Linked DNA regions of Danio rerio. The protein of the gene in region 1 binds, or shares a complex with, the protein of each later gene. Links are inferred from orthologs where the notes say so. Each region holds a gene or a part of one and is shown in the gene's direction. Other genes may lie near its edges.

Evidence for each region.
Region 2: ccnc (region 1) and med19a share a complex: the UniProt entries of both Homo sapiens proteins name them as parts of the mediator complex. The link is inferred for Danio rerio from reciprocal best matches to the Homo sapiens genes CCNC and MED19.
Region 3: ccnc (region 1) and med25 share a complex: the UniProt entries of both Homo sapiens proteins name them as parts of the mediator complex. The link is inferred for Danio rerio from reciprocal best matches to the Homo sapiens genes CCNC and MED25.
Region 4: ccnc (region 1) and med31 share a complex: the UniProt entries of both Homo sapiens proteins name them as parts of the mediator complex. The link is inferred for Danio rerio from reciprocal best matches to the Homo sapiens genes CCNC and MED31.
Region 5: the proteins of ccnc (region 1) and cdk8 are in contact, whole or in part, in a crystal structure (PDB 5CEI), measured with the Homo sapiens proteins. The link is inferred for Danio rerio from reciprocal best matches to the Homo sapiens genes CCNC and CDK8. Residues at the interface, in NP_005181.2 of Homo sapiens: Met1, Ala2, Gly3, Asn4, Ser8, Ser9, His10, Gln13, Phe72, Tyr76, Lys79, Ser80, Ile81, Asp82, Leu85, Leu93, Lys96, Val97, Glu98, Glu99, Phe100, Gly101, Val102, Tyr130, His134, Leu136, Glu137, Glu139, Phe140, Tyr141; in NP_001251.1 of Homo sapiens: Met1, Asp2, Tyr3, Asp4, Phe5, Lys6, Leu9, Arg13, Gly58, Ile59, Ser60, Met61, Cys64, Arg65, Ile67, Ala68, Leu69, Arg71, Glu72, Leu73, Val84, Leu86, Ser87, His88, Arg91, Lys92, Val93, Asn145, Trp146, Val147.
Region 6: ccnc (region 1) and med16 share a complex: the UniProt entries of both Homo sapiens proteins name them as parts of the mediator complex. The link is inferred for Danio rerio from reciprocal best matches to the Homo sapiens genes CCNC and MED16.
Region 7: ccnc (region 1) and med21 share a complex: the UniProt entries of both Homo sapiens proteins name them as parts of the mediator complex. The link is inferred for Danio rerio from reciprocal best matches to the Homo sapiens genes CCNC and MED21.

What each region holds. Positions count from the first base shown.
Region 1 is NC_133179.1:6,192,111-6,195,610, reverse strand, and holds part of ccnc (cyclin-C), read left to right. Parts: intron 1-1,054; coding exon 1,055-1,110; intron 1,111-1,603; coding exon 1,604-1,639; intron 1,640-1,723; coding exon 1,724-1,815; intron 1,816-3,500. UniProt on the Homo sapiens protein: Component of the Mediator complex, a coactivator involved in regulated gene transcription of nearly all RNA polymerase II-dependent genes.
Region 2 is NC_133189.1:26,390,927-26,394,893, reverse strand, and holds the end of med19a (mediator of RNA polymerase II transcription subunit 19-A), read left to right. Parts: intron 1-542; coding exon 543-639; intron 640-719; coding exon 720-808; intron 809-3,208; coding exon 3,209-3,274; 3' UTR 3,275-3,467; downstream 3,468-3,967. UniProt on the Homo sapiens protein: Component of the Mediator complex, a coactivator involved in the regulated transcription of nearly all RNA polymerase II-dependent genes.
Region 3 is NC_133178.1:29,240,529-29,244,509, reverse strand, and holds the end of med25 (mediator of RNA polymerase II transcription subunit 25), read left to right. Parts: intron 1-2,712; coding exon 2,713-2,821; intron 2,822-2,980; coding exon 2,981-3,087; 3' UTR 3,088-3,481; downstream 3,482-3,981. UniProt on the Homo sapiens protein: Component of the Mediator complex, a coactivator involved in the regulated transcription of nearly all RNA polymerase II-dependent genes.
Region 4 is NC_133196.1:43,308,451-43,312,389, reverse strand, and holds the start of med31 (mediator of RNA polymerase II transcription subunit 31), read left to right. Parts: upstream 1-1,139; 5' UTR 1,140-1,279; coding exon 1,280-1,301; intron 1,302-1,797; coding exon 1,798-1,872; intron 1,873-2,057; coding exon 2,058-2,154; intron 2,155-3,939. UniProt on the Homo sapiens protein: Component of the Mediator complex, a coactivator involved in the regulated transcription of nearly all RNA polymerase II-dependent genes.
Region 5 is NC_133199.1:25,411,879-25,415,378, forward strand, and holds part of cdk8 (cyclin-dependent kinase 8), read left to right. Parts: intron 1-7; coding exon 8-151; intron 152-1,830; coding exon 1,831-1,900; intron 1,901-1,977; coding exon 1,978-2,050; intron 2,051-2,129; coding exon 2,130-2,227; intron 2,228-3,041; coding exon 3,042-3,120; coding exon of another isoform or gene 3,121-3,129; intron 3,130-3,500.
Region 6 is NC_133186.1:14,629,193-14,632,692, forward strand, and holds part of med16 (mediator of RNA polymerase II transcription subunit 16), read left to right. Parts: intron 1-307; coding exon 308-441; exon of another isoform or gene 442-604; intron 605-3,500. UniProt on the Homo sapiens protein: Component of the Mediator complex, a coactivator involved in the regulated transcription of nearly all RNA polymerase II-dependent genes.
Region 7 is NC_133179.1:2,082,969-2,086,893, forward strand, and holds med21 (mediator of RNA polymerase II transcription subunit 21), read left to right. Parts: upstream 1-1,356; 5' UTR 1,357-1,401; coding exon 1,402-1,443; intron 1,444-2,056; coding exon 2,057-2,171; intron 2,172-2,257; coding exon 2,258-2,358; intron 2,359-2,930; coding exon 2,931-3,110; 3' UTR 3,111-3,425; downstream 3,426-3,925. UniProt on the Homo sapiens protein: Component of the Mediator complex, a coactivator involved in the regulated transcription of nearly all RNA polymerase II-dependent genes.

The sequences.
Region 1 (3,500 bases):
TACTTGTATATTTTATAATAAGTTATTTTTTTGTATATAAAGAGAGAAAAGTCCCATCTGAGATTTTCATCTAAAATTAGCATTTTTCCTCAGGCTTTTGTGTGTCACTTCAGTAATTTTACTCTTATGGCAAATAATAGGTTATTTGCATTGCCTTTAAAGTGGAGTAACTGATCATAAATATTGGAGGCTGAGAAAAACACAACTTTTAGAGGAAAATTTCAGACGTCACTGAAGTTTTTTCATCTGAACTCTTTATACAGTTGAAGTCAGAATTATTAGCCCCCCCCCCCCCCCCCCCCCCTGTTTAGTTTTTCCCCCATTTTCTGATTAACAATTTTTTTCAACACGTTTCTAATCATAAAAGTTTTAATAACTAATTTCTAAGACACTTCTGTACAGCTTTAAGTGACATTTAAAGGCTTAACTAGGTTTACTAGGCAGGTTAGAGTAATTAGGCAAGTTATTGTATGACGATGGTTTGTTCTGTTGACAATCGAAAAAATATAGCTTAAAGGGGCTAATAATTTAGTCCTTAAAATGGTGTTTAAAAAAATCAAAAACTGCTTTTATTCTCCCCAAAATAAAACAAATAAGACTTTCTCCAGAAGAGAAAATATTATCAAACATGCTGTAAAAATTTTCTTGCTCTGTTAAACATCGTTTGGGACATATTTAAAAAAATAATAATAATCAAAGGAGGGCTAATAATTCAGACTTCAACTGTATATACATATACAAACACTTTTTATATATACATTATATGAAGTTGCACAATATATTCAAATAAGAAAATCTATATTATATTGTAATTTATTTGATCTAATAGCCAAGGAATTGTTGCTATTACTAAATTTAATTTAGTTTAATTTGATATATAAAAACAACTAACAAAACACTATATAGACGTGTTTAAAAATGTAATCATGAAAAAACTAAAATGAAAACAAAATATAAGCATATCCCGATTATACTAAAAAAACAGTTTAATGTCTTCCTCAATAGTCACTTTTGTAATATATATGTATTTCTCAGACTTTTCTTTTTTTAATAGTGAAAACAAGGTTCTCTTATGCCTTCCCAAAGGAGTTTCCCTTCAGAATGAACCACGTGAGTCAAACGTCTTTGTTTCACTACATCAGAAAACATGATGAGACCGTCATGTGAGAGTCTTTCCCGAGAGCATGACTTCACTAGGAGATTTTGGAAATCTGACAGCATCACTATACATCCAGATAATAATTTCTTGTAACTTGTCTGATTCATATGATGGAAACACTAGTCGAGAGTTTGAGTGTGTGTGTGCTGATGATGCAGTGTTTCTGACACCCGTTCAGGAGTGAAATTCCTCACACTCGCAACACCTTCGTAGGAAAGTCTCATTATCCTGATAGATGACTTCTGGTTTTGGCCGTTCATGTCTCGGGCTGGTGATAAGTGCCATATGATTACTAGCAGTGTTGTTTATTCAGCACAGCACTAGTCAGGTGGTGTAAAGGAAACATTGCGGTCTCCATTTAGTAAAGGGGGGAAAATGCCAATTAGTGCGCATAACATGCTAACGCCATGATTTCACAGTGAACTTATGCCTTTATCTCGCTAGATCCTGGAGTGTGAATTCTACTTGCTGGAGCTCATGGTTGGTATTGATGGATTCTTGAGGTTGTCTTGAAGTTGTGTTTTCAGCGTTTGTTGATGGATGTTTGGTTTGGTTTTGTTTCAGGACTGCTGTCTGATCGTGTATCATCCGTACAGGCCGCTATTGCAGTATGTGCAGGACATGGGGCAGGAGGACATGCTGCTGCCGCTGGCTTGGTGAGGAGTGTGTGTGGATTCAGTAGAAACCTCTACTTCTTTTATATGCTGGTTAAAGGGATTGTTCGCCCAATCGTCTATCTCTTTGTTGTTTTTTTAATGCCCTATACTGTTCATTCCTTTTTGCATGAGAACTTCTTGATGCTCATGCATGCCTGTGTAATGGTAGTTAAATCACAATCACACTTAAGGAGGTAGTTCACCCAAAACAGAACATTCTGCCAATCTTCACTCGTTGCAAACCTGTTTGAATTTCTTTTTTTCCTTTGAACACAAAAGAAGATGTTTTGAAAAATGTTGGAATGTGGTAACCATTGACTTTTTTCCTACTATGGAAGTCAGTGGTCAACTGTTTCAAACATTCAAAAAGTATGTTGTTTTGTGTTCAGCAGCCTTTATAAACACAAAGGTTTATAAAGGTTTGAGGGTGTGTAAATATAAGAATAATGTTAATATATGAATAAAAATGCAAACATATCAAAGAATAATTCCATGTAACAAATGCCATGTATTGCAATTATTCTGTAGACATATGATAAGGTTTGGTGAAAAACAAACCGAAATTATTGTTAGACAAATTTTCTGATGTTGAACATTTTTTTGAAGCTCTTATTATTGAGGCGTTTCAGTCTGACTATACCTTTTTATCAACATCTACATTTTAAATAAGTGGCAAGAGGAGTGGAATGCATTGGAAATTAATAAATTACATGAAATACAACCTGAAATGTCAAACAGAATTTTAAGACTATTTGATCGAGTGATTTTTACTAGATGTTGTGTTGGACATACAAGATTAACTCACGCCTTTTCACTTAAAGATGAAGACCCCACTCAATGTTTGTTCTGCACAACTCCCCACACATTTCACTGGACTGTCCTGCTTTTAATAATTCCAGAAGACTTTTTTAATGAAATGAACTCTCTTAAGGACATTTTTAGCAAAGTGAAACCAGAATTCTTATCATGTATTATTAACACAAAAATATCTTACTTAACTTGTGTTTTTATTTGTTTGTTGTTTTAAATTGTTTATTTATTATTGAAATGTTCTTGCCATGAAAATAGCCTTGGTTGCTGTTGCTATGGTTTATTTCCGTAAATAAAAAATACATCACATTACATTACAGTCTGACTATATACTGCATATAGAATATGTATATCTGACTATATATAGAATGATTATTCAGCACACTGCAAAAATATGCTTTTTTATTTAGTTTTTTGTGTTGTTTTTAGTCAAAATATCTTAATATTCTTATATCAAGACATTAGACAAGTAAAAATATTGTTTTGTTTTCAGAAAAAAGTTGTCAAAATTAAGTGAGTTTTTTCTTAAAACAAGCAAAATAATCTGCCAATGGGGTACATAAAACAATCTTATTGCAAACCAAAAAAAATTTTTTTTACTCACCCCTGATTATTAGGCAGATTATTTTGCTAGCATTAAGGAAAAACTCACTCAATTTTGACTTTTTTCTGACAACATTTTAAACGCCTAGAACAGGGGTTTCCAAAGTTGGACCTGGAGGGCTGGTGTCCTGCTGACTTAAGCTCCAACTTGCTTCAACATTCTTGCCTGGAAGTTTCTAGTATACCTAGTAAGAGCTTGATTAGCTTGTTCAGGTGTGTTTGATTAGGGTTGGAGCTAAACTCTCCAGGACACCGGCCCTCCAGGGCAGTGT
Region 2 (3,967 bases), on another chromosome or scaffold:
AAAGAGGCCAGTGGCACTTGTAAATCTCAGTTTATATGTGTTTTCCATCAGATTTTTATTTTCACTCTCCGTCTTTTAATCCTGAAGTCTTCTGAAATGGCAATAATTATTTTTTAACATTAATAGATATACATAATTCATATCAAATTCACATTGTTTAGATTACTAGAATGGACACTTTATTTTTCTCCCAGTTAAACAGCCACTTAATGAGTGAGTTTTAGCTACTTGTAGCGTTCAGAAAAAACGAAATACCCATGAAGATACTCGACACAGAGGAACATAACCTACTGCCAGCAAGTGTACGGAAGTGTTATTGCAGAGCAACACAAACAGCATGTATACAGTAGTATAAATGCACGACTACCCGCAAGGCAGGCACCGTGGATCACTGCGATCACGCAGAAGTATAAATCAGCCATTTTAAAAGGGATTTTTGCACAATTGGTCCCCTTTTAAACAAGATGTAGACAGCATATTTTCTAAAGCAATCTAAATGTGTTCTTTGAGCTTCATCTTTATAGTGTTGGTTTGTGTTGCAGCTTCCTGAGCAGTACAGACTGATGCACATACAGCCACCAAAGAAGAAGAGCAAACACAAACACAGACATCATCACCCTCAGGATCCTCTACCGCTAGGTCACTTCAAAAGCTCATGGATTTTCACATTTTATTTCCTCTGTGCACCACATGCATGTTAACTTCCTTTCCCTGTGCAGAAACCCGCACTGACCCCACCAAGAAGAAGAAAAAGAAAGATAATGAACCTGAACGCAGGAAGAAAAAGAAAGACAAGAAGAAAAAAAAGGTGAGCCACTTTGTTGATGCGGCGCAGAATCTTACAAATTTACAATAATTAAAAAGTGTATTGTTGAACAAGGTTGAATGCTACAGGATGTTCCTGTATAAATAATAATGCGTTATTAAAATTTTAAAAATGTATACACATAGGAAGCAGCTTTGCTTTGGTGTAACATCTGAGCAGCCTTGAACAATGCTCTTTATAATTATTTATCATTTTTGCTTCACACAAATATTATTTCAACAGTAAACTGTGTTTATTTTACATTTAAAAGGATGTGTAAGCTTAATGAATGCGCCCTCTTTTACATGAATATTTTACACTAATATAGTTGTGCATATATACTTTAGATTAGTCAGTACTAAAGCTAAGACTGGAACTGATCTAACAAAAAGACTTAACATCACGGTCTAAAAATGAGACCAGCCAAATTAATTAAAGGTGCAGTAGGTGATTGTCTACAGAAACATTTTTTGATGTGCAGGTTGAAAGTCTCTTCACATTCCTATAGTAATGATTAAATTAAATGATCTAAATGTATTTACATGTATTTTTGTATTCTGGGTAAGTCATAAGACTAAAAAATGTTAATTCCCATAATTCTGATAAGTAGCCCAAACTGTCTGTCAACAAATGTAGACTTGTACATCTGCGCTGCTATTCGTGCAAATCTGCCGTTTGTGTGTGCACGTGCGTTCACGTGCACATGAGAGAGAGCGCGACCAGTAAAAACAAATGCTGAAACAAAACTTTATAATCCTGAATCAATATTGAAGTTAGTTTTTATGCTGGAGGAAGAACGAGACCATGGCTGAAGTATTTCTTTTAGACAGGTCATGTTCTGTTTTAAAACTATTAAGTCACACAAAGCTGATGTAGATTCTGTTGTTTCACGGATGTGTTATATGCACGAAAGTGTAATTCCTGCACCCGCCAGCCAACCACTAAGCATACAGTAGTGGCTTTAGGACAAAACGTGGGAGAGAGTGAGACCAACGATCCTTGTATGGATGAAATATTGCACATTATGACAAGTTTTGCTTGCTACACGACTGAAAACATGCTGGATATAATACAGTATTTTGTACTTTACAGTAATAAAGTATTGTAAAGTTTTTCAACTGGCGAATGACAAGAGTTAGTGGGCTGTCTACTGTCATCTTTGCAGTGCGTGTTTGTGATTTCAGGAGGCGTGGCTTTGAAAAATAGGGGTGGGACTGTTTTCTAAGATATTATGCTAACCGGTTAGCATTTTGGCAGATCACCTACTGCACCTTTAATGAGAAACTTTTTGTACAAATTTTCTGTCTCTCTATTCCTGAATGCGTTAGGCGATTTAATTTAATTTGAATAAATATAACAGTTTGATACAACACCAAAATATATTGACGATTCACAGAGAAATTGATTAAAAAAAATAGGAATTTTCCAAAAGGGTTGCAACTCATTTATGCTTTAAACCGTATGCATGTGTGTGTGATTTAATTTTTTTTCTTAAATTTATTTGAATAAAATCATTGTTTTTATCTTTTACTAAAACTAAATAAATTTTCAAACTTACTTTAGACATCTTGCTTCTCAATAAATGTGTCTTGATTTAAGTAACTGATAAGTTATTCACAATAGGAAACAAGACAGTATTTTGCAGTATAACATTTTATAAATAATATTAAAATATAACACATTAGGGCTGCACAACATATTGTTTCAGCATCAATATCACAATGTGATCATTCGCTATAGTCACATCGCACATTTGCATGTGTTTTTGATGCCGCTGATTGTATAAATGATTTTAAAAACATTCAGCTATATGAAATTGTACCATTTGTGACTTTAACAACAATTAATTTTTAATTATTTTTTATTTTTATCATTCAAGTTTTACTTGAATACTGTTAGACTCACACTTTATTTGTATTAAAACACTTTATTTGTATCTTTTTCTTGATTGTATTTATAGATTGTTGTGCATGAAAATACTCGCAACACATGCAAATACAGAAATGCACTGCAAATAGCACAGACCACAATGAAAATGTGCCAGAGGACCCCAAAAATGTTAAAAATAGTAATTATAAGAATCTAATTTTATAAATTATTTCCAAATAGAGACAGTCATCTGGTGAAATTTTATTCATATTGTAAAATATATTGCAGAGATATATTTTTTCCAATATTGCGCATCCCTATAACACAATATTAAATGCTCAATGTTAGTGGCATTCAAAATCAAATCGATGGTCTGCACAGTGTAGAATATGTCCCTAGAATCTACTTGATACCTTAATTATGTTGTAGAATAATTACTTGTTTATTGCTGGGACCTGTCACATTTAAAGTACACCCCATTTAGTCTTGTTAATGCATTTAAAAGGTCTTGGTCTGTTCCCTCTTTTCTTTTAGAATCGACACAGTCCTGATCATCCTGGTGTTACTGGATCTCAACCCAACAGCAACAGCCTGAGATAGAACAGTTGTGTGTGTGCGAGTGTGCTTGTTTGTATGTATGTTTGCACACATGAAGTGATGTTGAACTGTGTTAGAGAATCTGATATGGACCAGTGCGGTTGATTGATGTTTACAAGGGCCAATTGTTGATGATTTTTGACTTCTTTTTCTGGTTATGATGAAAAGCTCAAGGAATAAACTTTGTTATTCTTTATACAGTCTTTAAACACACTCTTTCTTTTTTGTTCACAATAACAGATCATAAAGTGTGCCAAGAAAATATCCCCCACACCATTACACCATCACTAGCCTGAAGTTGTTGATGCCACATTCTGACCATACCATTCGAATGTCACAGCAGAAATCGAGGTTCATCAGACCAGGCATAGTTTTTTCCAGTCTTCTATTTTCCATTTTGGTGAGCCTGTGCCAATTGTAGCCTCAGTTTCCTTTTCTTAGCTGACAGGAGTGGCACCCGGTGTGGTCTTCTGATGCTGTAGCCCATTCGACTCAAGGTTGGATGTGTTGTGCGTTCAGAGATGCTCTTCTGCATACCTCGGTTGTAATGAGTGGTTATTTGAGTTACTGTTGCCTTTCTTCCATCAGTTAGAAGAACCAGTCTGGCCATTCTCCTATGACCTCTGGCATCAACAAGACCACAAAACTGCCACTCACTAAATATTTTCTCTGTAAACCCTAGAGATGGTTGTGCAT
Region 3 (3,981 bases), on another chromosome or scaffold:
TATATCGTTTCAGCATTGTGCGCATAAGCAACAGTCACATCGCATGATATATGCAATGTTAAGTCTAAATTATTGTTGACCAGGAGCCACAGAACACATGCGGTTTGTTGAGTCACTGCTAAGTTTAACCATAATACAGTGAAAGTTTATCATTTGCATGTGTTTTTAAAGCCTGTAAAAGTACATTACAATAGAGTTTAAACATTGGGGAACAAATGTTATGATGTTTGGAGGTGTAACAAAGATTATATGTATTTATTTATTTATAATTCATGCAAAAAATGTTTTTTTTTACTTACATTTTAGTTTCTAGTCCAAACATCTACTTTTCAAAGCGATGCTGAAAAACCTGTAACCATGAAAGTCAGTGGTTTCAGCTTTAATCAAAATATGTTGTTTATTTTTTTATTTTTTTTCATAGAATCACTTGATGGTAAGTAAATAGTGAGTAAATGTTCATTTTGGGTGATCTATTTCTTTTTACATTAACATTAAATAAATTGTCGGCTTGTTGAATAGTTTGAATTTGAATAGCTTTGTTGAATAGTATCTTGAGATCATCTGATCTAAACTAAAGGCCTGCAATTATATGGTGTGGCCAGTGAGGCGCTGTAGCACAAGACTGCTATAATTCAGCTCTCTCTGATGCAATAGACTTGCTGCTTTGGAGATTATGGCTCAATTCCAAATGGCACAATTCAATGTGGTCCTGCGGACTTAAAATGGCTGCGTGCCACTTAAGAAGGGTACTCACAAGCCCCTTCTTTGTGGCACTGTATGCACATCAGCTGAGACCAGGGTTTTAATCCACATTTTGAAGTATAACAACAGTAACCAGAGATTTAAAGCAACAACACTAAACTGCAAAAGAAAATATGATGGCGTTGACTTGTGGGAAAAGATGTATACAATCTGATCTGATGTGGTAAGCAGTAAACACATGTAACTAATGGGCTATATGCACAGCTAGCGTTTTCAGCCACTGCTAAACTTCCGGTGAAGGGTTAATGTGACTATTTTAAAGCTTATAAGGTTCCTTTTACAGCATCAACATCTTAATATAATTAAAATACAATCAGTTAAATAATCTTAATCATTTATTTAGTTGGTCAAACATGAAGCCAGATGAAAGACATTGAAAAATTGATGTAAAATACAATTTCATATTTTAAAGAGATGGCAGGCAAAAATGGAATTTTATGTGCTTCATGTCTGGTCTTCATGACCCATTTTATGTCGTATATCAAGCAGGCAGTGAAGATCACTTATTTGTAAAGAAATCAGATCTTAAACGTAACGATTTTGTAATGAAAAGACCAGGCTGGCTGGCTAATAACTAAAAGTCTGTGTGCATATAGCCCACTAGCTGTTTCACTAGTATCTGTACATAGAATTAGTTTTAGCAATTGTAAGCTGCATTGCACTTCAAAAAATGCATTTCTTATATATATTTGTCTTGTTTCTAGTCTAAATATTTCAGAATCCTTTAATTAAGAAACATTTTTTAAAACTGTGAAATTTTGCTTAAAACAAGCTAAATAATCTTGTTTTTAGTTTTGGCAATATTGTTTTTCTTAACCCGTTGGCAGATATTTAGCTTGTTTTAAGGATATACTCACTTAATTTTCAATTCAATTCCTGTTTATTTCTATAGCGCTGTATAGCAATATAGATTGTGTCTAAGCAGCTTAACATAGAAATTCTAATAAACTGAAACTGTGTCAGTCAAGTTTTCAGAGTTAAAGTTTAGCTTAGTTCAGTTCAGTGTAGTTTAATTTTCACTGCTGAACTTCCAAACACTGAAGTGCAAATCCATCCATGAACAGCTCCACAAGTCCCAAACCAAGCATGCCAGTGGTGTGGAACAGACTTCACCAATTGACGAAAGTGAAGGGGAAAAAAAACCTCAGTTGGCCACTACCGTTTCACCTCTGGCCAAAGTTCAACTATATTTTGACATATTATTTTTTAAAACAAGACAATATGTTTTGCTTGTCAATAAAATGTTTCTTGATTTAAGAATTGTTGATTTTTGAACTAGAAACAAAACAAAAAATATCTAAGTATCTAAGAAAATTAAAAAAGAAAGGTAAAAGAAAAGTTAAACTAAAAAATAAATTAAAAACAAGTTTTGTTTTGTTTTTTGCATCTTGGACATTTTTATAACTTTACAACATTTGTAAATAATGCTATATGAATATCCCAAATCAAACAAAAACTGCTCAGGGGTAGCTTAAATAATGTGTTGGTGCTCTTTGGGTAAGGGATTCATAAGGGAGTTGACAGAGTTTGCATGAGCTCGGGTTTTATCTCAGATTTGCATATATATGGAAGTCTTTGACTTGTATTGAAAAAGAAACTGCTTTGCAACTGCTAAAGAAATAATTTCTATACAGTATGAATTACTGCTTCATTGTGATCATGTGATTTAGCAGAATCAGTTGCATTGCTTCTCTGCTTTCACAAATTCTCTTCTGCGGCCTCATGTTGTATTAAATGTGTCCTAATTCACTCGACTGAACTAGTAAGTCATTTTAGCAGTTTTAACCTACTCTTTTATGAGTAGAGTGAAATAAAAATAATAATTTCTTTGATCACATACTGCTTTGACATACTATATAGTGGGAAAGTAAGCGATATTTAGATGCAGCCATGTAAAGTCTGATCTATGAAGTTTGACTTGCTTTTATATGCCAGCCTCTCTATGTACAGCAGGGTGGTATGCAAGGCATGCAGGGGATGCATCCTATCCAGCAGATGGTCCATGCAGCACCAGGAGGGGGCGCTCAGATGCAGCCTCAGTGGAGACAGCCTCACCAGGGTAACGCTTAATTTCCACTACAGTATCATTAGCACCATTTATTTTTATCACATCTGTGACCTTGTTAATTGTGTAAGAGATTGAATTTATTTGCTGTGGTTTATGCTTCATTTCATTTCCCCCCCAAACTTTGTAGATTTATATTTCACATTCCCACAGGTCCACTAATGGTCCCGACGGGTCCACGTGGTCCAGTCACACAGAATCCAGGGATGCCTTCGGTGTCGAGCGTCATGGAGGATGAAATTCTTATGGATCTAATCTAAGGACTGTTTTCCCATCATTCTTTGCTTCAGAGGTTTAATTACGGAATATGAAAGTCATCATCTTTTTTACTTTTTGTTAGAAGAAAGCGTGTAGGGGAAGAAGGACTTTATTTTCATACTCAAGTATTCGTTGATGCTTTTACACACAAACTTATCACCGTATCATGTAAGCGGTTCATATGGAGGAACTGGAGGAAAAGACATTTACAAAAAATTAGGTTCCACTTTGAAGACTCAACTACTCCTCCCATTCATAAATGAATGAATCAAATCCGGTTACTACTGTATTTTTATGAGCATTTTACTTTCTTTCGGTTTTACTTTTTTTATTATTTGTCTTTGAGATCTAGCATGTTGTTTTATGAAAATTAAATAAAGTTAATTTTCTCAAGCAGCTTTTTTTGTGTTAAAAAGTCTCCTAAATGGGCAAAGTGTTCCCCATGAATACAAAGGAAGATGTTTTGAATAGTTCATCTATAATTGAAGTCACAGGGACACAAAACTGCTCATTTATCTGTGTAGTTAGCAACATTTTTCATAACTGATTTTTTTTGTATTATGTAGCCAAAAGCATTTGGAATGAAACAAGTGGGATTTCAATCAGGGGTTGCCAAACTTTTCAACCTAAAAATATCAATGCCGGTGACTCGCGTTTAGGGCTTCACAATTCTGGCTAAAATAGGAATCACAATTTTTATTTATTTTTTTGCTTAAAATCAAGATCACGATTTTCTCACGGTTCTGTAGATGTAAAATAAAGGTTAATAAGTGTAGGCTATTATAATGTTATTCTCAATCATATGGTTAAACAACAACAATAATAATAGTAGGCCTTTGTGTAGGTCTACTGGTGGTTGTATAGGTGTATAGACTTGGATTGATGAACTTGAACAT
Region 4 (3,939 bases), on another chromosome or scaffold:
CAACTTTTGATCATCTTTTGAGAAATTGGTTGGTTGGATATATTTTATGTATAATTTCACTTTATTAGTGACACAATACTTGTTGTTATAAGTCCAGATCAAGTTCCAATAGATATTCTCAGATTATTCCAAAAGTATTTGTGTCTAAAAGTGGCAAGATAATAAATCAAGCGTCTACAAAATTTATTATTACATTTTCTATCTTTGAAATCAACACCATGTAATTAAATCTCATTTTTAACTGTTAGTTTATTTGGTTCACTGTAACTCTGCAAAAGCCCCGCCAGGCCTTGTGGAGGCACAGGAACTAAACTTCTCAAAAAAATTCAGTAGCCTATAAGTCAGTAAATATCCTTCATCTTTTAAGCTGTGAGACCAATAGAACACCTTTTTAACCAAATTATCATGGAAAATAGATTTTTTTTTCTTATATTCCAAGTCACAAAATGTATTTTGTAGGCTACAAATATTACTACGAAAAAAAAAGGTGCAAATGCCTCATAAATACTTTTTTAAAATATTGCCTGAACTTTATTCGGCTTACTTATTTGTTTCTAAACATTTTGATATTCCGAGTAGTTGTACATTTTGTGGTGAGGATGATGAAACTTTAATACAATTATTTTGTATGTGTGAATTTGTTCAGAAATTTTGGTTTGACCTTTATCGTTATTAAACACTCCTCCTACCTTTGCACAATATTTTAGTTTAAAATAAAGTGTTTGTTATTACTCAGAATAAATCTGAAGAATTTGTTTTCAACTTTTTATCTTGTTTGGAAATATTTTATACAAATATGCATTGTTTCAGTCCCTACTTTTCGACATTTTCTCATTAAAGTTGACTCCTGCTCAAATCTTTGCGTACGTGTAACAACAACAAAAAATGTGTCAGATACTTGGCTCTACATGAAGAACTGTTGACTCTGATTTGAGTTAAATAGCTCTTAATTAATTTATTTTTATACAATTTTATACAAGTGTAATTTACTTACCCCTTACAAATGTAGTTTGTATTGTTCCTATTTTGTATCTCTCTTATATTGATCTCCTGATTGTGGTTGTAAGTTTTCATTCTTTATTATTTAAAAAAAAGGTGCAAATGTCGTGAAACACTTTTACGACAGCAGCACTGGTTTTATGGCAAAAATGGCGTCAGCGGTCTATGTCCGCATAAACAATGAGTAATGTGTTGTTTTTGGTAATCGCGCTCTAAAAAATCTTTTTATACTAATCATTTTCCAGATATTTCAGCGTCGTCTGAATTCTCGTTGTCCGTAATGGCTGGTGTTATGGAAACAGGTTTGTTAAAATTAGATTGAATTGTTATTTAGCACATCTTTGCCCACGAGATTCCTAGCAATGTGACAGTTAACGTAAATACAATTGTTTGGTAACGTATTTTAGTTTCGTTTTGATCATATTAAGTTATACAACGTTTTAGAGGTACTACACTATGTGTTATTTTCTGTACTGGCGCAGATATATGTTGTTCAAGCAATTTCTGTAACACTTAACATTAAGGTAGTATCGTCGTTAGCCAATGTTTGCTAACATGAACAAACAAGAATCGTTATATTTATTACAGTGTTTGTTCGTCTTTGTTAAAAGTATTAATGAAATAAAGTAATCTCAACTTACGGTGCATCAACTAATGTCAAGCATGAACTTGCATTTTAATTATGCACTAATACAAGTATTGTTCGTTGGTAGTTCATGAATACATTTACTAATGATTATTTGTATTATTTCTTTTCAAACACAAACATTGCTTACGCTTCTATTTGTGCTTTGACAGACGAGCAGGCGAGACAGCGCTTTCAGCTGGAGCTGGAGTTTGTTCAATGTCTGGCAAACCCAAACTACCTGAACTGTAAGAACAACGTTAACTCTTGTTTCTTTTTTACTGTTCGCTAAATTCAGTCATTACTTTAGTCATTGGTCAAATTCACTCATTGGTTGTTACATTCTGTAAATTCAAGGTAATTTTGTTACTGTGGTCGAAATATGAAGATGGATAATGATTATTAATCTTAATTTTTTCCCCCCATCCTGCAGTTCTGGCTCAGAGAGGTTACCTGAGAGAGAAGCCTTTCGTCAATTATTTAAAGTATCTGCTTTATTGGAAGGAACCAGAATATGCTAAATTTCTAAAGTAAGTAACATGTTGTTCTTGTTGAAATAGATTGTTAATTTGTCAAACATTTCTTCTTTGGATGATGAGTGCTTCTAATAAAAGCATGAAAGAAAGAAAGAAAGAAGGATATAAAATTTGTTCAATATCGTGTAGTTCTAGTGCATAATATTTATTAGTTATTTATTATTAGTTATTTATTAGTTAGTATTATTAATTATTTATTAGTTTACTAGTTATTTTGTAAAATACTATTATTCAGCTTAAAGTCCTGTTTAAAAAATTGACTAGCTCAATTAGGCTGGTCATTTGACAGCAGTTGTTTGTTTTGTAGACAGTCGAATATAAGAAGTTCTTAAGGGGGTGAAAAATATCGACCGTAACGTTTTAAGAAATTTATTCTTTTAATGCCACCAGAATAAAGAAATGAGACATTCTATATAAGTTAAAACGTAATAGTTTAGAATAGAAATATAAATATTTGTTTTGCTAAACATGACTTGGGAAAATATTTGAAAAGGAATTAAGAATTTTACAGGTGGTCTAATAATTTAGCTGTATATAGTTGTATTTAAAAATGTAAATTGAATTACAAGTTTAGTATGTGTGCCTAATCTGTATGGAACAAAATTAATGGCAAAAGTATTGAAATAAAAAGTTTGTTGATTAGCATTAACTGAAAAAAAATAATGCATTGAATAAGCAACTGCTTGCATTTTAATGACTTGAATTGCAAGAGTTTGTATTTTTAGGGCCTGAATTTTAACACGGCTGTTTATTTAAGCTGTGAATATTTCAACTAAAAATATTTTAAACATGTTTTTATACTTAAAATTTCAACAATTCATATTCAATTTCCAGATTTCATATATATATTAAAAGTTCAATTTTTAAATATATAATACTGGTGAAAAATATGAAGCATAATGTTCAAAATTTAACTTTCAGTTTGTTTACTTTTCAGTTTAAAATTTTGCTTCCAAAAATTCAGTGGTTTAAATTTGGCTCTTAAAATTCGACATTACTTCCGGGAACTGCAGGAACAGCAATAGATTGCAGATTGGCAATCTCCAGCTGCTTTTTCACTAGCAGGTGGACCAATTTAAGATTTTTAAACCATTAAATAAAGGTTTAAAAACTCCCTTTTTAAGGGAAAAAGCTAATAACAGCACAAAAGTAGCATTTAATATTGTCCTTGTTAAATTTTAACAGCCGAATTTGATCCACTAAATTAATGGAAGAGAACTTTTGAACTGAAATAAAGTGAGTTGAAAATTGTCTTTTGAATATTATACATGAAATCCGGAAATTAAGAATTATTATTTTTAAGTATAAAATAAGTATAAGAATTTTCAAGTATAAAAACGTGTTTGAAAAATTTTTAATTGAAATATTTACAGCTTAAATAAACAGCTGTGTTAAATTTCAAGACCTAAAATTACAAACTCTGGCAATCCAAGTCATTAAAATGCAAGCAGTTGTTAATTTAATATATTATTTGTTTCAGTTTGTGCTATTCAATACGTTTTTTTTTTGTTTTTGTTTTTTTTAACAATACTTTGATTTTGTTCCATAAATCTGCAGTTTACATAACCTAAACTATAAAGTTATATTATTTTATTTGTCAATATAAAGCAAAAACAGACAATATGGTGCCAAATTGTAGGTCGCTTACCATTAGTGCTGTGTGATACTGAACAGAAAAGATTTAAGCATTCTAAATAATTCAATGCAATATTTTATTAAAAATATCAAATCAATGAAATATTTCATATGATTTCAGGGAAAAGAGAACATCACTACAAC
Region 5 (3,500 bases), on another chromosome or scaffold:
TTCACAGATATCTGGGCAATTGGCTGTATCTTTGCTGAGCTTTTGACCTCAGAGCCCATCTTCCATTGTCGACAGGAGGACATTAAGACCAGTAATCCCTACCATCACGATCAGCTCGACCGCATCTTTAATGTCATGGGCTTTCCTGCAGGTATTCTGCATCTACTTTTCATTCAGGTCTAGGTCATTCATTTAAAAATAAATGGATTGTTAAAAATCCCAGTAGGGGGCAGCCTTTCTGAAGAAAAATAATCTTGTCAAAACAAATAGAATCTAACAGTTCTGAATGCAATACTGATTGTTTTTTAGGATTGATGAAAACAAATAAACAGAATTGCATTGACAAATGGGTCATTATTGTTAACTTAAAATCATACAGGATCAGAAATAAAATGTATTTAATAAAAAAAATTTGTGTGTGTGGGACTACAAAAAGAAAATAGAGCATTTAAATAAAAGAACATTTAGGATGTAATTTAACTATTCCTATTACACTACAGATTTCTTTAATGACTTAATATGACTGGATGAATGTAATTAAATTAAAATGTAATTTTTAATTTAATATTCTGGGTAAAATAAATGAAAGATTGTTGCCAGATTGTACTAATTCATTCATTCATTTATTTTCATTTCGGCTTAGTCCCTTTATTAATTCGTAAGAAATTTGAAGGCCACAGGAACAGTTCTGGTGAAGGACAGATGTGCTAAATAAAGAAAATTATCTGAAAGGCAAAGGTGAATTATGGTTAGAATGGTCACAGACAAACAGCAGACCACCTCCAAAGAGCTCCAGGAACATCTTGCTGCTGATAATATCATTGTACATCATTCCACAGTCCAGCTTTCTCTTCACATTGAAAAGCTCAATGCATAGGAGATGCAGAAGAGGCGTTTGAGGTATGCAAAGTCTGATCTGGACAAGCCTGAATCATTTTGGAAAAATATACTGTAGACAGATGCCACAACTATAGATGCTTTGCATGATGGAAAAACAACACAGCATTCCAGGAGAAGAACCTGCTGCCTACTGTAAAATATGGTGGACGGTCCATCATGCTTGGCAGATTTGTGGCAAGCACAGGTGCTGGAAAACTTGTCAGTTTAAGGTCACATGGATTCCACCCAGTATACGCAGATTGAGAAGAACAATGTTCAGAAATGACCCAAAACAGTTTCAGATCTACCAAGAAATTCATGCTCAGACATGATACAATGATCTAGAATGGCCATCCCAATCCTCAGACTTGAACATCACAGAAAATCTATGGATTGATTTGAAAAGGGCCGTGGCACGCTCGGCACCCATCAAACCTAACTGAACTGGACATTTGCAGTCAAAAATGCCTTCAGCAAGACTTCAGGGATCCTTGACTACAAGAAGTGTCTATTGGCTGTTATTTTAGCAAAAGGTGGCTGTACAAAAGATTGATGTCATTATTCTGTTGGGGTGCCCACATTTTTGCACTTTTTTTGCACAAGACTTGAATTGCATTGCATCTGTTGATTTAAATAAATCTTATGTCAGAACTAAAATGTTGCTTTTTCTTAGGGTATAAAATATTTCTTTATGAAATTGCTGATTTGAAAGGCCAGCAGGCTATGGCTTGCAATTATAAAAATGATCAGAGGTGGCCAAAGGTTTGCATAAAACTGTAGATCATAGAAATACAAAAAATCACAATGTCTGATTTTTTTCTGATATCGTGCAGCTCTAGTGTTCTGCATATTCTTTGCTGATTAGAGCATTAAATTAAACCATTTATTTACAGTTCAAGTCATCTGATGTCGGTAAATGTGCTAAAATCTGTTATCTAATTTTCTTCTCAGACAAAGACTGGGAGGACATTAAGAAGATGCCGGAACACTCGACACTGATGAAAGACTTTAGGAGGAATACGTTAGTTTGAGCTTCTTTTTTTATTAAGTTGTCTCATTGAGTGACAAATTTGGTATGACAGTGTTTGTCTGCTGTAGGTACACTAACTGCAGCCTTATAAAGTATATGGAGAAGCATAAAGTCAAGCCTGACAGCAAAGCATTCCACTTGGTAAGCAGATCAAAAGAAAAGCAAATCTTTTATCCTCATATTTTCTCATGCAGATATTAACCTCTGTACACCCTCTCAGCTGCAAAAGCTGCTTACCATGGACCCAATCCGCAGAATCACATCTGAGCAGGCCATGCAGGACCCGTACTTCCTGGAGGAGCCTTTACCCACATCTGAGTGAGTGATGTTGACACTTCTGCTGTGACCAGCAATTATCAACAGCTTTTCTGCAAGTGAAATGCATGTAGACTTTACATACGTTGTTTTCTGGAAAACAAATAACCGATTAAACCAAAAAATGTTTTGCTTTTAAACGCTGTATAGTGAGTTTAGGGAGTATAGAAGAACATACAAATGTTCTTGATTTCTGAGAATGTCAAATTGACCATGTTTAAACATTTTTTACATTTTTCTCACTCAAAAAGAAACCCTTTAAAGATCCTGTGAAGCTTTTTAAAATGTGCAGAGTTTTTTTATTCGATGTTTGACAATCTCAACGAAGACAGGACAGGCAGGACTTAGTAGCTTCTCCCTTTAAAAAACAGCCAATTGCGTTTTATTTGTATCACAGCTCTGCCAGTGAGCTCAAGTGTATCAAATGAAAAGTATGTAGAAAGCATTTGATCAAGATTTGAGAAACTGAAGTATGAGGTGATGTGGAAAAAAACGTTGATCCATTTAGGCATAAATAAACTCTACATGTTTATATAGATTTTGTATCTTCTAAATTCAAATTTTGTCACTGTTTTGTACCACACTATAGCTTATACATATCCTTTAAGACTAACATACTGATTCTGACATCTAAAAAACATGATTTGAACTTCTCTGGACCTTTAAGTTCAGCTGTATTCAAAACAAAAAGGAATGGAAAACAAAAGAGATAATACTAATAAAAATAATAGTGGGATTTTTTTTGCATTAGATTAAATTAGTTGCTTTAGAATATAAATTGCAGGATGTTAGCAATTCAAATCTGTTTTTTGTTTAGTGTCTTTGCTGGCTGCCAGATTCCTTATCCTAAAAGAGAATTCCTGACGGAAGAGGAGCCAGAAGACAAGGCAGATAAAGTAAGAAATGTGTGTTTTCTGTCTTTTTTCCTCTTCTTTTTCGGCATTTGTTTCACACACATACTTTATATTTGTATTATTTTATTCTATAAGGCCCTGATGTACTTGTATCTAAACGCTCTGGAAGTTCTGCTTTTTCTAACTTCTGAAGCTAAATTTATGACCAAAGTTTCTTATAAAATGTCCTTACTGGGCTTCTTTTTTAATTTTGAGAGTTTTGTATTTTACTTTATTGCTATTTTTTTTTTTTAATACAGTATTACACAATAGAAAATATCAGTCGTTGCTACATACATTCAGAATCACCTTTGCTTGAAATTATTCAATCTAACCTCTTTTGTTTGTTTTGTATTTGAAATTGTCCTGCTGATGAGCAGATT
Region 6 (3,500 bases), on another chromosome or scaffold:
TTTGCTAATATAAGTTAGTATCTTTTAAGTTCCTTTTTTTAAATAACTCTAAATGCATTTTAGCAATTAGAAGCTACTATAAAGATTATTGAGCTGAAGTTTGACTACAAAATTGAATCATCAAAATTGTAATATCTTTAAAAAAAAAAAGTGTAGTATGGTATTTTCCCCAAATCGCACAGCCCTATCACCAAATTAATAATTATGACAGACCTACATAGAATGAATCTTTGCATTCTCCTATCCACACACATTTATTGTTGTTTTGACACTAAGCACATCTTTTAATCTGTTAATATGTGTTCAGACATTGATAAGGTGATGATCAACCTGAAGACAGAGGAGTTTGTTCTGGATGGACCACCCCTCCAGTCCCTTCAGCAGCTTATTCAGTGGGTCGGAGACTTTGTTCTGTACCTGCTGGCCAACCTTCCCAACCAGGTGAGCTCAGCTGTGATGATCTTTACTGATGATCTGAGGCCTTTTACACAGAATGCATTTTTCTTCTCCAACCCTCTACTTTTGTATTGCTTTTTTAATGTTAAGACATGCTAGACAGACATATTTGACCATTACACTTGCTTCTCGTGTCTTTTAAACAGTGGTGGTAAGAGTACAAAAAAATTGTACTCAATTACAAGTACTGTTACATTGCTGAAATTGTACTCAATTACAAGTAAAAGTACTGGTGTTAAAAAGTACTCAAGTAAAAGTACAAATTACTCTTCGTAAAAACTACTCAAATTACAAAATTACAAATTACTTTTTTAGCTTGGCGGTATTGGTGGAATTATCCATAAATCCGGAGTCAGACAAGATTTAGGCAGTAAAACACATTTTACATAACACATCTAAAGATACTATAAACACTTTTTAAACTGTGTAAACAGCATTAATTATAGATTATAATTATATAGCACCTATAGAGGAAACCCATGCCAACATGGGGAGAACATGCAAACTCCACACAGAAACACCAACTGACTCAGACAGGGCTTCAACCAACAAACTGTTTGCTTTGAGGCGATAGCGATACCCACTGCGCACCATGATTATTTTACAAAAACAATGTTTTGCTATTTTGAGTATAAAGATAACAGAAATATGCACAAATGCACGACTTCTTATCATTTCAAATGATGCCTCTTTTATCTGTACGATCAATAGATGATTTAATATATAAAAAATAAACACTTGCAAATTATGGAGAAACTTTGTTAATTACCTAATTCGCCAACTGAACCGTCAGAAACCACAAAACAACACTGCCTAGTGCCTAAACATATTATTAATAAATTAAATATCACACAAATTAAGTTATGTCTTCTTACCATAATGTTTTTTTTCAGATTATAGACTGAAGTCTTGTAAAAAAAAAAAGGGTTTCTGCAGATATCGTAATGTCAAATGTAAGACTTTTTAAGACTACGTCATATCTTTAATATTGTTCAAGATTTTAAAAATAATTATTTTTCATTATTTTTATAATTTATTATGATTACAAAGTTGGGTGACGGGGTGGGGCAGTGGGTAGCGCTCTCGACTCAAGGCAAAAAGGTCGCTGGTTCAAGCCTTGGCAGGGTCATTTGGCATTTCTGTGTGGAGTTTGCATGTTCTCCCCGTGTTTGCATGGGTTTGCTCAAGATGCTCCGGTTTTCCCCACAGTCCAAACACATGCATTTTAGGTGAATTAGGTAAGCTAAATTGTCTGTTGTTGTAAATGAGAACGGGTTGCAGCTGGAAGGGCATCCGCTGTGTAAAACATATGCGGGATAAATTGGCGGTTCATTCCGCTGTGGCGACCCCAGATTAATAAAGGAACTAAGCCAAAAAGAAAATTAATGAATGATTGTAATGAATGAAATCTTTTCAAGATTTTTTAAATCAAAGTTTGATGCATCACTCACTTTTGTTTATATCACGGACAGTTCTACCTGTTAAAGTTAAATATCAATGACAACAGAACATGGGTTACTCTACAATTATTATTTTTTTATTCTGGCAAGAATAATAGCAAAAAAAAATTTTTTTTTTGCCCACTCAACAATTGACACATTATTGTCTGGCTAGTTTCTGTCCTCTACTAATGAGCTGAAAAGGCAATAATGGTCCAACAATCCTGTCCATCATCACCAATAAAGCCTAGAAATTGGGCTTCAGTATACTGTAAGCTGATGGGTTCATATATTATTTTCCAGTTATCAAATACTTAATTTGTTCCTTAATTTTTGTTACATTGCTTTAACTTCAAAATGATCCATCAGTGTAAAACCTATAAATGGTGGAAAAACATATTCTGTAATCTTAAAACCACCTGGGTCTCCACTTTTGCCATGGCCTCTTTTTTGTTGTAACAAACTTATCCCCCAGGTTTTTCCAAACTTTAACAAAACACTTCCTTTCCATGGCTGTTGCAATTTCTAGCCAAGAATTATCGGTCATCTGGTTATCTCTTTGTCCACGCATGGTCGGATAGTTAAGATGTCTGTACAGTCGTACTGTTACAAACAAAATCTCTTCAAAGTGATTCAAATTCAACTCAAATCTAGCACGGCGCCGCGCGAACTGTTCACCCGAAATCATGTCGCGCGCATCCAAAGTGAACCTCCGCAAACACGGCGATGACGTCACATTCGCCGCGCGCACTGAGCTATTGCATGCTGGGCTTATTTGTAGTTTTAATACTGCAAATTACAATAGGACTAGTGAAATAAAGAACTACACCACCACGAAACCAAGCAACAACAAAAAATTATATTAAATGAGCATTAGAAGTAGCGTTACATGTACATCGGAAAAATAAGACATGTGCAAACATATTTCAGATCTAGAACAGCGAATTTAAGACTTTTTAAGGGCTAAAATTTAGATGTTTATATTTTAGACATTTTAAGACCCCACAGAAACCCTGTGTAAGCCGGATGGCACAGCCGAGGGCAGGTTTCATCCACTTATTTTTGCGCTTTTTGGATATGCACATAAAACGGTAGATGGAAACGCTATAATGCGCATATATTTTGAAAATGTGTGTGAATGGACAAACCAGCAGGCTAAGCACATTGTAAAACATCTAAAGTGTTGTTTTGGTCATTCTAAACCGCCTCAACCATTTCAGTATTATATTATATTAATAATGACCTCCAGAATTGTCAAGAGTTTCTGCACTCCGTAGGTGAACAGCTCCTCCGGGTGTGGCCATGCATTCATCCTCTGCTATTTCTTCCTCATTTCTTCTGTCTTACATCTCCATATGTCAATTGATAACTTTGTGATTGTATGATGACGGTCACGTAAATCTGCAGTAGCCTGAACTTGTTTTTCGGTTCAAATAATGTACCAGGCTTTTCATTGGTCCGTTAAGATCAGCTTTTTTTATTGGCTACCGAAATGCTGGTCAGTGCGTGGCTGAAATATTAATTTATTGACAGTACTCTGTAACGAATTGTGATTATAAAAGTAACGAAGTAGATTACTCAGCTTAATTTGTACTCAAGTACAAG
Region 7 (3,925 bases), about 4.1 Mb from region 1:
TCTTGTGTATGAAAAATTAAACAAATAAATAAATCAGTCACTTATGTATTTAATTATTTTATGCATTGTCTAAGATTCACTAAAGTGTTAAATTATAATATATATATATATATATATATATATATATATATATACATATATATATATATATATATATACATATACATACACACACACACACACAAACACATATATACATACACACACACACATATATATGCATGTATGTATGTATGTGTGTGTGTGTGTGTGTGTGTGTGTGTGTGTGTGTGTGTGTGTGTGTGTGTGTGTGTGTATTTACATTATCAGCAATCATCACCTCATAAATATCAATGTAGTCCAGTTTATAAACAGTACAAGCAGTCATAAAACCCAAATACACTAGAACAATAATAGTTAGCTATATAGAGGTAAAGTCTGTTTTATATTCACATATTCAGACTTTCTCCTCAATAAGGTAATTTCAGAAAAGTAATGTTTACAAATTCTAAATAGGGAAATCATTGTCGATGTTGTTTTGAAGTCATCCTTGCCTGCTAATGTCTATCGAATATTCAAAGTAACGTTAACGTTAACATGGTAAACAATACAGAGACTGCTAAATAAACGAATGTGCGACTATAAAAGCAACGTTACCTCTATGTTAGCTATTATGTGGTAACAATAATAGGGTTATTTCAGATTGATATATTGACCTTAAATCAGTACACGAATCGATCACTAATTGATCAGCATTTCATTCTTAGGATTATTATTTCAGATTGATATGTCGGCAGCTGATTCACTCTACAAACACGAATTATTTGTCACATGTGTGCGTTTAAAAGGGATTATATAATTAATTAAGCGTGATAAGTAAGATATTTTGGGATGTTTGTGTTTATTTAGCGTAACGGTGAACTTTAGATCAGTTGCAACATCATATCAATCACTAATTGATTAGAAATACATAGTTGACATGATTGATTTCGATTCATATGTCGCTAAATGAGCTGAGTCACACTTTAAACAACTGTTATTTGCCACATATGTGCGTTATATAGGGATTATATATTTTATCAAGCGTAATAAAGAAGGTATTAGGGGTTTAACGTTACTCACTCTCATCCTGAGCGCGCAGTGAACCGACCCACGACAAGACGAGCAGAACCAAACATTCTCTCTTCAGTGGCATTTTCCCGGATCAGTCCAGTCCATAAACACGCTTTAGCAGAAGCATTTACATTCGGCAGTCATGTTGAAGCTTCACATCCAGCCTCCGGAAGTGTCAAGCACTCCTGCTTTGCGCGAAAATGCAACAACTTTTCAGTAGACGAGCGCTTTCGCTGTACGCTGCGCTGTATCACGTGATGTAGCATTGAACGCGCTCGGCGGAAACGGAAACTGTGAAGAGGAGCCAACATGGCCGACAGGCTAACGCAGCTTCAGGATGCTGTGAACTCCGTAAGACTCATTTAACGTTTATTTTATACTTCAGAAACTGCAGAACACAGCAAATGTCTTCCGAACAGATTTACTTAATAGTCTGGTTCATTAAATTGGATTATTTGCTTAAGAAGTCATGTTGATGTACTGTAGCGTCTGAAGTGTTAGCATAGCGTGCAATTTGTGAACAAATGAACAGGTGAAGTTTGTTGTCATATGTGTTTTGATACTGTAATAAATGTTTTACTTGTTATAAATAAAACGAAACTGAAAATAATAGTCCTATTATAATCTAAGTAAGTGTATATAAAAGGCACCGTTATATAATTATAATATAACATATAATATATACATACATTTCTGTAAGTGCTATTGTTACTTATATATTGGTGAAGTACACTTAAATATTTCTTTTTTTGTGTTCTTCAAAGTGCAATATTAATTATTTTTAAATTGTTTTAAATTAATGTTGTTTAATCAAACATTACATGTAATTGTGTTTATTCATATATTACATAATTCACAATCTTAGCACTGAGTACTAATACTTCTCATCATGTCAAAGAACATGTAAACTGAAAGTAACAGTGGATTGTCCTGCATGTCTGATTTACTGCATGTCGTGTTTCAGCTGGCGGATCAGTTCTGTAATGCGATTGGAGTTCTGCAGCAGTGCGCACCACCGGCCTCCTTCAGCAACATCCAGACGGCCATCAATAAAGACCAGCCCTCAAACCCCACAGAAGGTGCTCTCATCTGCACTGATCTGAATGTGATCCACTTTGAAAATAATGTGTTTTGAAGTTGACATACTAAGATGTGTTTTTTCTAGAATATGCTCAGCTGTTTGCAGCGCTGATAGCAAGAACAGCAAAAGATGTTGATGTGCTGATCGACTCTCTGCCCAGTGAAGAATCCACTGCAGCCTTGCAGGTACATTTATTATATACACACACACACTGTATCACTGGCCAACACCACATTATTATTATTGAATCATTATATAATTATTGAGCCTTCTGCTGTTTAAAATATGGTTGTTCTGCACTTCAGGTTTTGAGTTCTGGCACTCAAAGAGAAGAAAATCAACTGTAAATTATATTGTTGCATTAAAAATGAATCTCAGCTTAACCTGTGCATCTCATATCCATTTCTGGAGAGCCACTGCTTTGCACATTTTGAGTTATGCCTACATAATGGACCTGATTATAAATATCATCTTGCTAGAAGAAAGCTCCAGAAGCTGCACTGAATGTACAGAGCAGTAGGAGCCCAGAAATGGATTTGAGAAACACTGAAATATACCATGACAATAATACACAAATGACCAATTAGCTAGATATTAATCATATTACAAACTTGATTACTGTTAATTGCTCATCCCATGCCACATATATTGCACATCTGGCTCTGTGCTACCCATGTTGTCCAAGTACAGAGTGAACAACAATACATTAGCATTATACCTCGTCTCTACTTGTTGTCATTTCTGATGCGTTTCTTAGGCCGCCAGTCTGCGACAGCTGGAAGAGGAGAACCAGGAAGCTGCAGCGCGTCTGGAGGAAGTGGTTTACAGAGGAGACGCCCTGCTGGAGAAGATCCAGACGGCACTAGCAGACATCGCCCAATCACAGCTCCGCACCCGCAGCGGAGCCCCGAGTCAGCAAACACCTCCAGAATCCTGACAGAAAAAAACCACAACATGAACTATAGTGTCGGGACACAGCAGGGATTTTATACGCATCCTACATCGACTGCAGGAGACTCACTGTTTCACATCGGTTTCTGGACTAAAGAAAGCTGATTTCCCATCGCATGTCTTTATTGTGCGACCTCTGTTTTTTACCTTGTGTAATGTTCATCAGCGTGTTACTACCATTAATAGTCAGCTTCTGGGTATGTTTTGTAAATTAAATGTTGTTTTTTTCCCTCACCAGCATTATGCTGATACTCTTGTTTTGAAAGAAGTTATGTTTAACAAATAAAAATATATTGTATGACATGCTTGTTTTTATTTTTAACTTTGACCTGTTCAGGGTTTAACGCTATGGATTTTTTCTACTGGTCCGATCGGGCCAGTGGTTCAGATTTTTACTTGCCCTGCCAAATTTTTTACTGACCCCACCAAAAATAAAAAAAGAAGAGAAAAAAAAGCTAAGATGATAGCTATTTTTAGCCACATATTTTAAATAATGTGTCAAAAACAATGTCTGTGAATCTCGAATTTCAATACTTAAAGATGCTTTAATAAATAATGAGCAAAATTCAAAGTGTTATGCAAACAAAAAGAGCAGTATGGAAAATGTGCAGGTTTTTTGCAGTTCAAAATCTATTAATAAAAGGTGGTTGACTTGTTAAACTGACGGCAAATTGTGTTAAACATCACTTCATTTTGTTGTTGTGTTGTTCCTACGTAAATATCTGCTTCCAATACATTAGAAACAGACATTCTCTTTAAGCCTTCTAACTTGCTGTTGCTGTCATGTTGCTGTTTCTTTGC